Linked DNA regions of Xenopus tropicalis. The protein of the gene in region 2 interacts with the protein of the main gene of each other region in a pairwise test. Links are inferred from orthologs where the notes say so. Each region holds a gene or a part of one and is shown on either strand. Other genes may lie near its edges. The genes, in order: ptpa and amot.

Region 1 (3,826 bases), about 30 Mb from region 2:
ATTACAGGGAATATTTAACTGGCACAAAAAACACTGTGGTCGCTTCCTCATCTTCTGTTCCACAGACAAACAAGGAAAACCACACTACCAATGCAGAACCACTAGGGGCTGTGATTGTTGTCTATGGTGAATCTACCAAGGCAAGCTACACAAGCAAATTCTATGGGCGTATTTATAACATTGGAGACAAACATCACTGGTGAAGTTGCCCATATCAACAAATAAGATCTTTGCATTTGTTCTCTAACTTGAATTCAAATCTAATTGCCGATTGGTTGCTATGGGCAACTTCACCGGTGATGGTGATATTTGTCTTCAATCTGTTATTCTGACCACTAGGGGCACTGTTTCCATGGCATTTCATGTTATCTTAGCTGGATTTGATTTATGAAAAATTAGTTACAAACGGGGTACAGTTCTCCTTTAAACCAAGGCCAGTAGGACCTGTGCCATGCCACTGATGAAACACAGCCATTGCCAGGGTGTGCAGCTTTCCGGTTGTGCCCACCTTATCGAGCTTGGCGTACCAGGTGCGAAAGGCCTTGTTGCCGAATCGGGAAGGTTGGTCTACCGGGGGCATCTCATCGATCCAGCGATTCAAGGTATCGAGCAGAGACATCAGTTTGTGGATCACCTGTACCCAAGGGATATAAACAGTTAGGTTAGCAAGCACCATGGCAGATGGAGCACATATGGTTATGCTTTCTAACAAAAAGGGCACCCCATTCTTTAAGAGCAGGCTGGCCCCTTTCCCATAGGCTGTTACTTGGACTTTCTGGCCTCAAAGGCAGCAAGTCGCCTGGGGTGCAAGATGTGGCCCTACTCCTTGCCAGCATATCCTGTACAGATGATTTCACTTTCGGTTACCTTTTGTATGGCAGTCAGTTGTGACAATAGCCTCCCTATAGCACAGTGCTCACGATGGACAGATCTATTTTTCAGGTACAGAGCCAACAGCATGAATCATGCCAAGACAACCTAAGAGTTGAACTGGTCATCAAGGATGCCAGGGGATCTCTGGACTGTACACAAAAAACAGGCACTAGACAGCATGACTAAAATTTGAAGTGCCTCCCCAAAAGTCCTAAATCTGGCATTATTGCAAGGGAGTACCCTGCAGTCAAACAAAATGACTCCTACTGTACTGTCCTGGAGCAACAATATAGCACCTCCCTCGCATATGTATAAATACAAATATACAAAGAAGAAATGTTCTGGGCACACAATAAGATATACCCTCATACTGTACTGTCCTGGAGCAACAATATGGCACCTCCCTCCCATATGTATAAATACAAATATACAGGAATGTTCTGGGAACACAATAAGCTGTAACGCCCATACTGTACAGTCTAAGGGAAACAATATGGCAGCTCCCAGTCCTGTGTATAATAGGAGGACTGTTCTGAACACATACAAACTACACCTTGATATTTTATGGTGTGTTTCAGGGAGCACAAGTGGAAGATAAACGCTACATGTAAACCTATTTATCCTCGAGAAGCAGAAAGGGCTGAGGCACACAATTCAGAGGACAGGCGGTTGGCATTTATTTCATATACACAGACTCTCTCCAGGCCATGCTAAAGGATCCAGCTGCGGGCAGGCAGGATTCTCGCTGTAATTAAGACCCAGGCGGAGAGGCCTTTGTTAAATAGTGCCGATGATTTACGTGGCCACCAGCCTCCCAGCCATAGGCAGCTCATTACGGGCAACCAGGTTTTTTTCTCTCTCTCTAGTTCCTTTCCAAAGGCTACAGGCTGAGTAATAGCAAAGGGGCTGCTGTACCTCTAGGCTTCAGAGCTGGGGAGGAGGGGGAGGAGGGTGGGGGGGGGAAGGGACAGTCACGCATCCATTGCTTTTTAAAGGGATTAAAAGCAGCAGAGTTGTTTGCATGGAGAAGGCTCCAGCTGCCAGCACAGGCAGCCTAATACATAATTAAAGAGACACAAGTGTCTGGGTCCCTTCTGAAAGGCAGTGTGCAAGTGCAGGCGGCTCTCTATTGTCCGGCTAAATTAATATTGCAAGGAAAAGCAATAGGGTGCATGTCCTGCGTCGCCAGGGTCAGCGGCAGGAAAACGGCGGCTAAGAGCCGCTCCGCCAGCTGAATAATATTCTGCCCCGACGATGCGCAAGTCCCAAATAAAATGTATAAAAAAAGAAAAAGTGCACTGTTACTAACAACACGCCAACCTATCTGCTGCCCTTCTCCTGAACTCGCCGAGCCACCACAAAAAAATCCATTTCCAGCCCCTGCTCTGCGGTCACCTGTTCCCTCCTGGAAGAGCCGCTGCGAATAAAGATGACAGATTATTGTATGAAGCGTTTCATTTCGGATAAATCACACCGTATCAACACCCCCCCCCTTCCACTATATCCCCAAGTTCTGCAAGGACAGGCAAAGCCAAATTCTTTATGATGCCAAACTTGATCTTTCTCTAGAGACGGGAAAATAACGGCCCGATTTATGTTGTACCGGTTCCTCTGCCCCTATAAGCACAATTCAGCAGGAACAGCCCCCTTTGCTCACAGCCTGTACAGAGAGATACCATAAAACTATGGCAGCATAGGGTTTCCCCTTGTACTAAGCACAATTCAGCAGGAACAGCCCCCTAAGTTTGCTCATAGCCTGTACAGAGAGATACCATAAAACTATGGCAGCATAGGGATTCCCCTGTACTAAGCACAATTCAGCAGGAACAGCCCCCTAAGTTTGCACATAGCCTGTACAGAGAGATACTATGGTAGGAAGAAAATAATAAGGTCCAGCACTGCTAAGCACTATATTAGAGATAGGCAGCATCTTGGGCGCCCACGATCCTCCAGTAAACTCAGCTGACAGAGGGATGCTGGGAGTTTATAGTTCCCTAACGGCTGAAGTATTTTGGTTCCTGCTCTACAAGGAAGGAATTTGGCTGTAATTGCTTTCAGACCAGGACACCACTACCGTTATAATGATTACCAGGCCTGACTGGGTGGCCAACGATCAGTACAGATTGTCCTTCCACCAAAAATACACGTATAGTCAATAAAATGACACACGCAGCATCCCAGTACTAACTACAGACTGTATGTAGGGACAGCACCCTAACATCTTGTCACACATCCCCAAGTCAAAGAGCTTGCAGTCTAATTACTGGCCATAATATGTATGGCCACTTGTGCAGTTACTGTCTGTTAAGCCCAAAGCCCAGCCAGTCAGATACCTATGCAGTACTGGCCTCCTTACGCCAGAAAATAGAAAGCAATTAAAAAGTCTTTCTTTGGGTTTTGTTATGTATATTGATAAGTTTCATGAAGATGAATGGCATTTTAGGACTTGCTTGTGTCTTGTCCCAATTATTTCACTAGAGGGAGTACCATATATTATATAATATTATATATATATCGGCACTCACCAATATCGGGGCAACGGCTGGGTGCTGACAAAAGTAATGCATCAAACTCAACAGTAGAAAGCACTCACAGCTGCGAGTGCTTTCTACTGTTGAGTTTGATATAGATATATATATATATATATAGATATATATAGATATAGATATATATAGATATATATATATATATATATATATATATATATATATATATACATACATACATACAGTGAGGAACATAAGTATTTGAACACCCTGCGATTTTGCAAGTCCTCCCACTTAGAAATCATGGAGGGGTCTGAAATTCACATTGTAGGTGCATTCCCACTGTGAGAGACAGTATTTAAAAAAAAAAATTCAGGAAATTACATTGTATGGTTTTTAAAGAATGTATTTGTATTGCACTGCTGCACATAAGTATTTGAACACCTAGCAATCAGCAAGAATTCTGA
Region 2 (3,826 bases):
ACTCAACCTTGAGAATTATATGAAGTTGGTTTGCTGTAATGTAATGCTATAATTACCCAAGCTGCCCTTCCAACTCTTGTCCTCCCGCTTCTCTTCCAAAATGGGAGTGCTACTCAGTGCAGAGGAGTGGGAAAGCAGCCCAGATCCTGCATTGGAAATGGACATAAGTGACTTGGAAGGCCGCATGGTAGAGGATTGGTCTGTTTTGCTCGGGTCCTTGCGGGACCGCTGCTGGAGAACTTTAATCATTGCATCTTTTTCAATAATCTGGGCGTGTAGTGTCTTTATCCTGCAAGACAAACCAAAAGAGAAACAAACGTTAACTTATATTGAATATTCTTAATGAGTTTACTAAATACTAAAATAAAAGAAACTTATGAAAACAAATAATTTCCCAGCAGGTAAGGACTCTTTACACCAACTACCCATTTTGTAATATGACTTGCAGATTTGCTCTGCCAGCCCAAAGCAATTGTTTATAATGACCAAAGTCTAATTTGAATGGAGTAAATATTACATGAATCATCACTGGCCAATAAGATAGACACTGCCAACTGCAGGGTCCATGTTATTCTAGGCTACCTGCTTGCTTGGAATCTCAAACTGCTCACCTGCCCTCCATATCTACACAGCGTCTGTTGGCCAAAAGAATCTCTTCTTCTTCCTTTTGGATCCGCGCCTCAAGAGAAGTATCAAAACTCCCACTCGGAGAATGGCTGATTGATGTAGTGTCTCTAAAACAAAAAAATGTCTTTGTTAGGGGCTTTGCCAATTCCTTATCTTAGGGGCAATGGAACTTGATACTCCCCATATCATGCACTGAAAAAGACAGATGACATCATATAGCAACTACATTGCATACTGATATTGTCCTGAGTCATTGCAATTAAAGTGCATTGGGATTTGCAATTTGCCACTAAGATTTCTCTACTGTGCAATTTGTGCAACACTGCTTTCAATTCAAGTTAATGAGAAGAGGTTGTATATAGGGAAAAATTGCTTTGAGAGGATCATGGCAATCAAAATAACTTGTGCTATTTGCCTAAGGTCATAAAAATACAATTTACATGACAAGACAAGAAGGTGCGTGAATCGTGGGAGACAAGGCGATCAATATCGGTAAAAGCCTCATTGGTCGGGCAGGACTGAAAATTTAGATTGAACGCCTTTGCTTTGTTTTTACTTGCATACCAGCTTAATGTTCTTAATGTTAGGACGAACCACCTTTCCTATAACCATCGGTTGTGGGAAAAATCGTAATTGTGTATGGCCACCTTTAGGGCTCTGGCACACGGGGAGATTAGTCGCCCGCGACCTTTAGGGCTCTGGCACACGGGGAGATTAGTCGCCCGCGACTTACATTGTCGCAGGTGGGATGGCAGGTGATGGCAACTCGGGGAGATTAGTCGCCCGCGAACAGGGAGTTTTGTCGCTGGCGACTAATCTCCCCGTGTGCTAGAGCCCTTATTCTGCAGCTGCCTGACACTAAAAACATTGCTTAATGATGGTAACGCGTGCCAAGAAATTACATCATCCTATAGTTTTAAAGCTGTTACTGATAAGAACATCAACGGCATGCAAGCAGTTAAATAACTTCATATAGTATACAGGCTCAGACACTATCTGTGCAGTTTTACAACTTTCTGCTCTTCAAACAGTGCTGTCCCTGGAATATCTAGCAAATTCCAATGCCCAGCATGAGAAAAGCTCACAGGGCAGAGATAAGATAAGTATGGTATGCACACACACAGCACACCCACCTTATTAGAGTCCTTGCCACTGCCACATACATTATCCCACTGCCTTGTCTAGACAGCTAACTTAGCACCTGCAGACATTATTATGATCCTGCACCTGATACTTTAATGATATTTTTATGAAGAAAAGGGAGATTTATAGAACTGGCAACCAGAAAATGTTGAGAAAATGTACCAATTCTTGATACATCTGGCCCTAAATAGCTATACAAACTCCACAGTCTGAAATTTTGCCAGTTAGAACAATAAGAGAAACACAAAACAGAGCCCGAGTCTATTTAACCATCTTTATATATATTAATTGCAGAAGTTACATTAAAAGGGAGGAATGCTAGCTATATGTATGGTAGCCACACATTGATTAGTCTTTGTGTCAAATGCATACGTGCTCCTCGACAGGCAACAACCCTGTGCTGGTTGCAAGACTTCCAAGTATTTTGAAAAAATAACCCGGAGAGCAGACAAAGTAGCTTATGACTTTCCCATAGTGATTTTTATTGCAGCATTCTCAGCACTGTGCCTTATATAGACCAATATCTCTATTGTTCTATATGTATGGTAGGCCTTTTGCTGCAACTAAGCACCCAGGAGTCAGAGTCACACTAGGTCAGGAAAGGGTTACTTGCAAATCTTTCAGATGTTTTTCAGGGGAAACTGGTAGTTGTAGTGTAACATCATCTCGTGACTTATGTTTTTGCAGGGAATGTTAACATCAGGTTAAGTTCAAACAAAGTACACAACTAAAGTCTGTTAAACCCCTTATTTTGTGAAGTTGTCAAAATATGAATATTCATTGGCAAATGCTTGTAGTCAGCTACCAAGCAACTCAGATTGTGTGTATTATATAAATACTGTTAAATATATTCAAAATCTACCTCTGAGCAGCCACAGTGGCTGCAGCATCCAGTGCAAACTGTCTCATAACACTCTCCTCCAGGTACTTCTGCTCCCACTTGGTCATATCTGCTTCAAGTGCCAGCACGCGCTCCTCCTTCTCTCTCAGCAGCTCCATGAGAGTGGCAGCACTGTATTCAGAGACATTGCTGGACTGAGAGTTCCCCTGTCGCTGTAAGAGAATACAGAAAGAGAGAATTCTACAATGCTCGTATTCTATTATCACTTGACCAACAGAAAACTAAAGAATAAATCAAAAGACTTAAATGGCAGCTATACCATCATTTGTATTGTATTCCCTTTGGATTTATCTAATGGAAGTATTACATTTCTATGTAATAGATTTCGAGAAATTGCGCCGCCGCGTGTGCCATCCCGCTGGCGACTTACATGTTTGCCGGTGGGATGGCGGGTCATGACAACTCGGGGAGATTAGTCGCCCGCGAACAGGGAGTTTTGTCGCGGGCGACTAATCTCCCCGTGTGTCAGAGCCCTTAAGAGTTTTCAAAGGACCCCAGGCCACCCTGGTGGCCAGTGAAACAGACTGATGTGTCCTTGACTGAGACACCTCAGCCCAATCAGTATCCAAATGAGGCACAGCCAGATACTAAATGGGATAGTGAAAATTCTGGTTACATAGAAACGCCAGCGGACTATCGATTGATCAGCCAAATCTATACCCAATATCTGCCAATGTGTAGTCATCTTAAAACTCTTCAAATCCAGCCCGCACTCATCAGACACGAAAGCACTAAAATCCCAATGAACAATTATCAGGGTTTTTCTGGTTACATATACTTTTAAAACCTTACAAGTCCAAATAATCCCTCTCTGCTCTTCTCACAAATGTAAGGGTCCCCATACACTATAAGATCCGCTCGCTTGGTGATGTCGCCAAGCGAGCAGATCTTCACCCGATATCCCCACCTACGGGTGGGCGATATCGGGTAGCAAGTGGCTTTAAAAAAAAATAATCTGATCGTTTGGCCCTGGGGCCAAACGATCGGATTACATTTGCGGCCATGGGGCAGTCGGTTCGGGGACCGCATCAACAAGCCGATGCGGTCCCCGATCCGACTGGATTTTCTAACCTGGCCGATCGATATCTGGCCAGATATCGGTCGGCCAGGCCGCTCGTTTCTGCCCATACACGGGCCGATTAGCTGCCGAATCAG

The links.
Region 1: the proteins of amot (region 2) and ptpa interact in binary tests that used the Homo sapiens proteins (3 or more experiments, as listed by UniProt). The two-hybrid records come from large-scale screens. The link is inferred for Xenopus tropicalis from reciprocal best matches to the Homo sapiens genes AMOT and PTPA.

Annotation. Positions count from the first base shown.
Region 1 is NC_030684.2:21,726,581-21,730,406, reverse strand, and holds part of ptpa (serine/threonine-protein phosphatase 2A activator), read right to left. Parts: intron 2,291-3,826; coding exon 2,183-2,290; intron 635-2,182; coding exon 509-634; intron 1-508. UniProt on the Homo sapiens protein: PPIases accelerate the folding of proteins. It catalyzes the cis-trans isomerization of proline imidic peptide bonds in oligopeptides. Acts as a regulatory subunit for serine/threonine-protein phosphatase 2A (PP2A).
Region 2 is NC_030684.2:52,159,594-52,163,419, forward strand, and holds part of amot (angiomotin), read right to left. Parts: intron 2,824-3,826; coding exon 2,633-2,823; intron 735-2,632; coding exon 612-734; intron 290-611; coding exon 57-289; intron 1-56.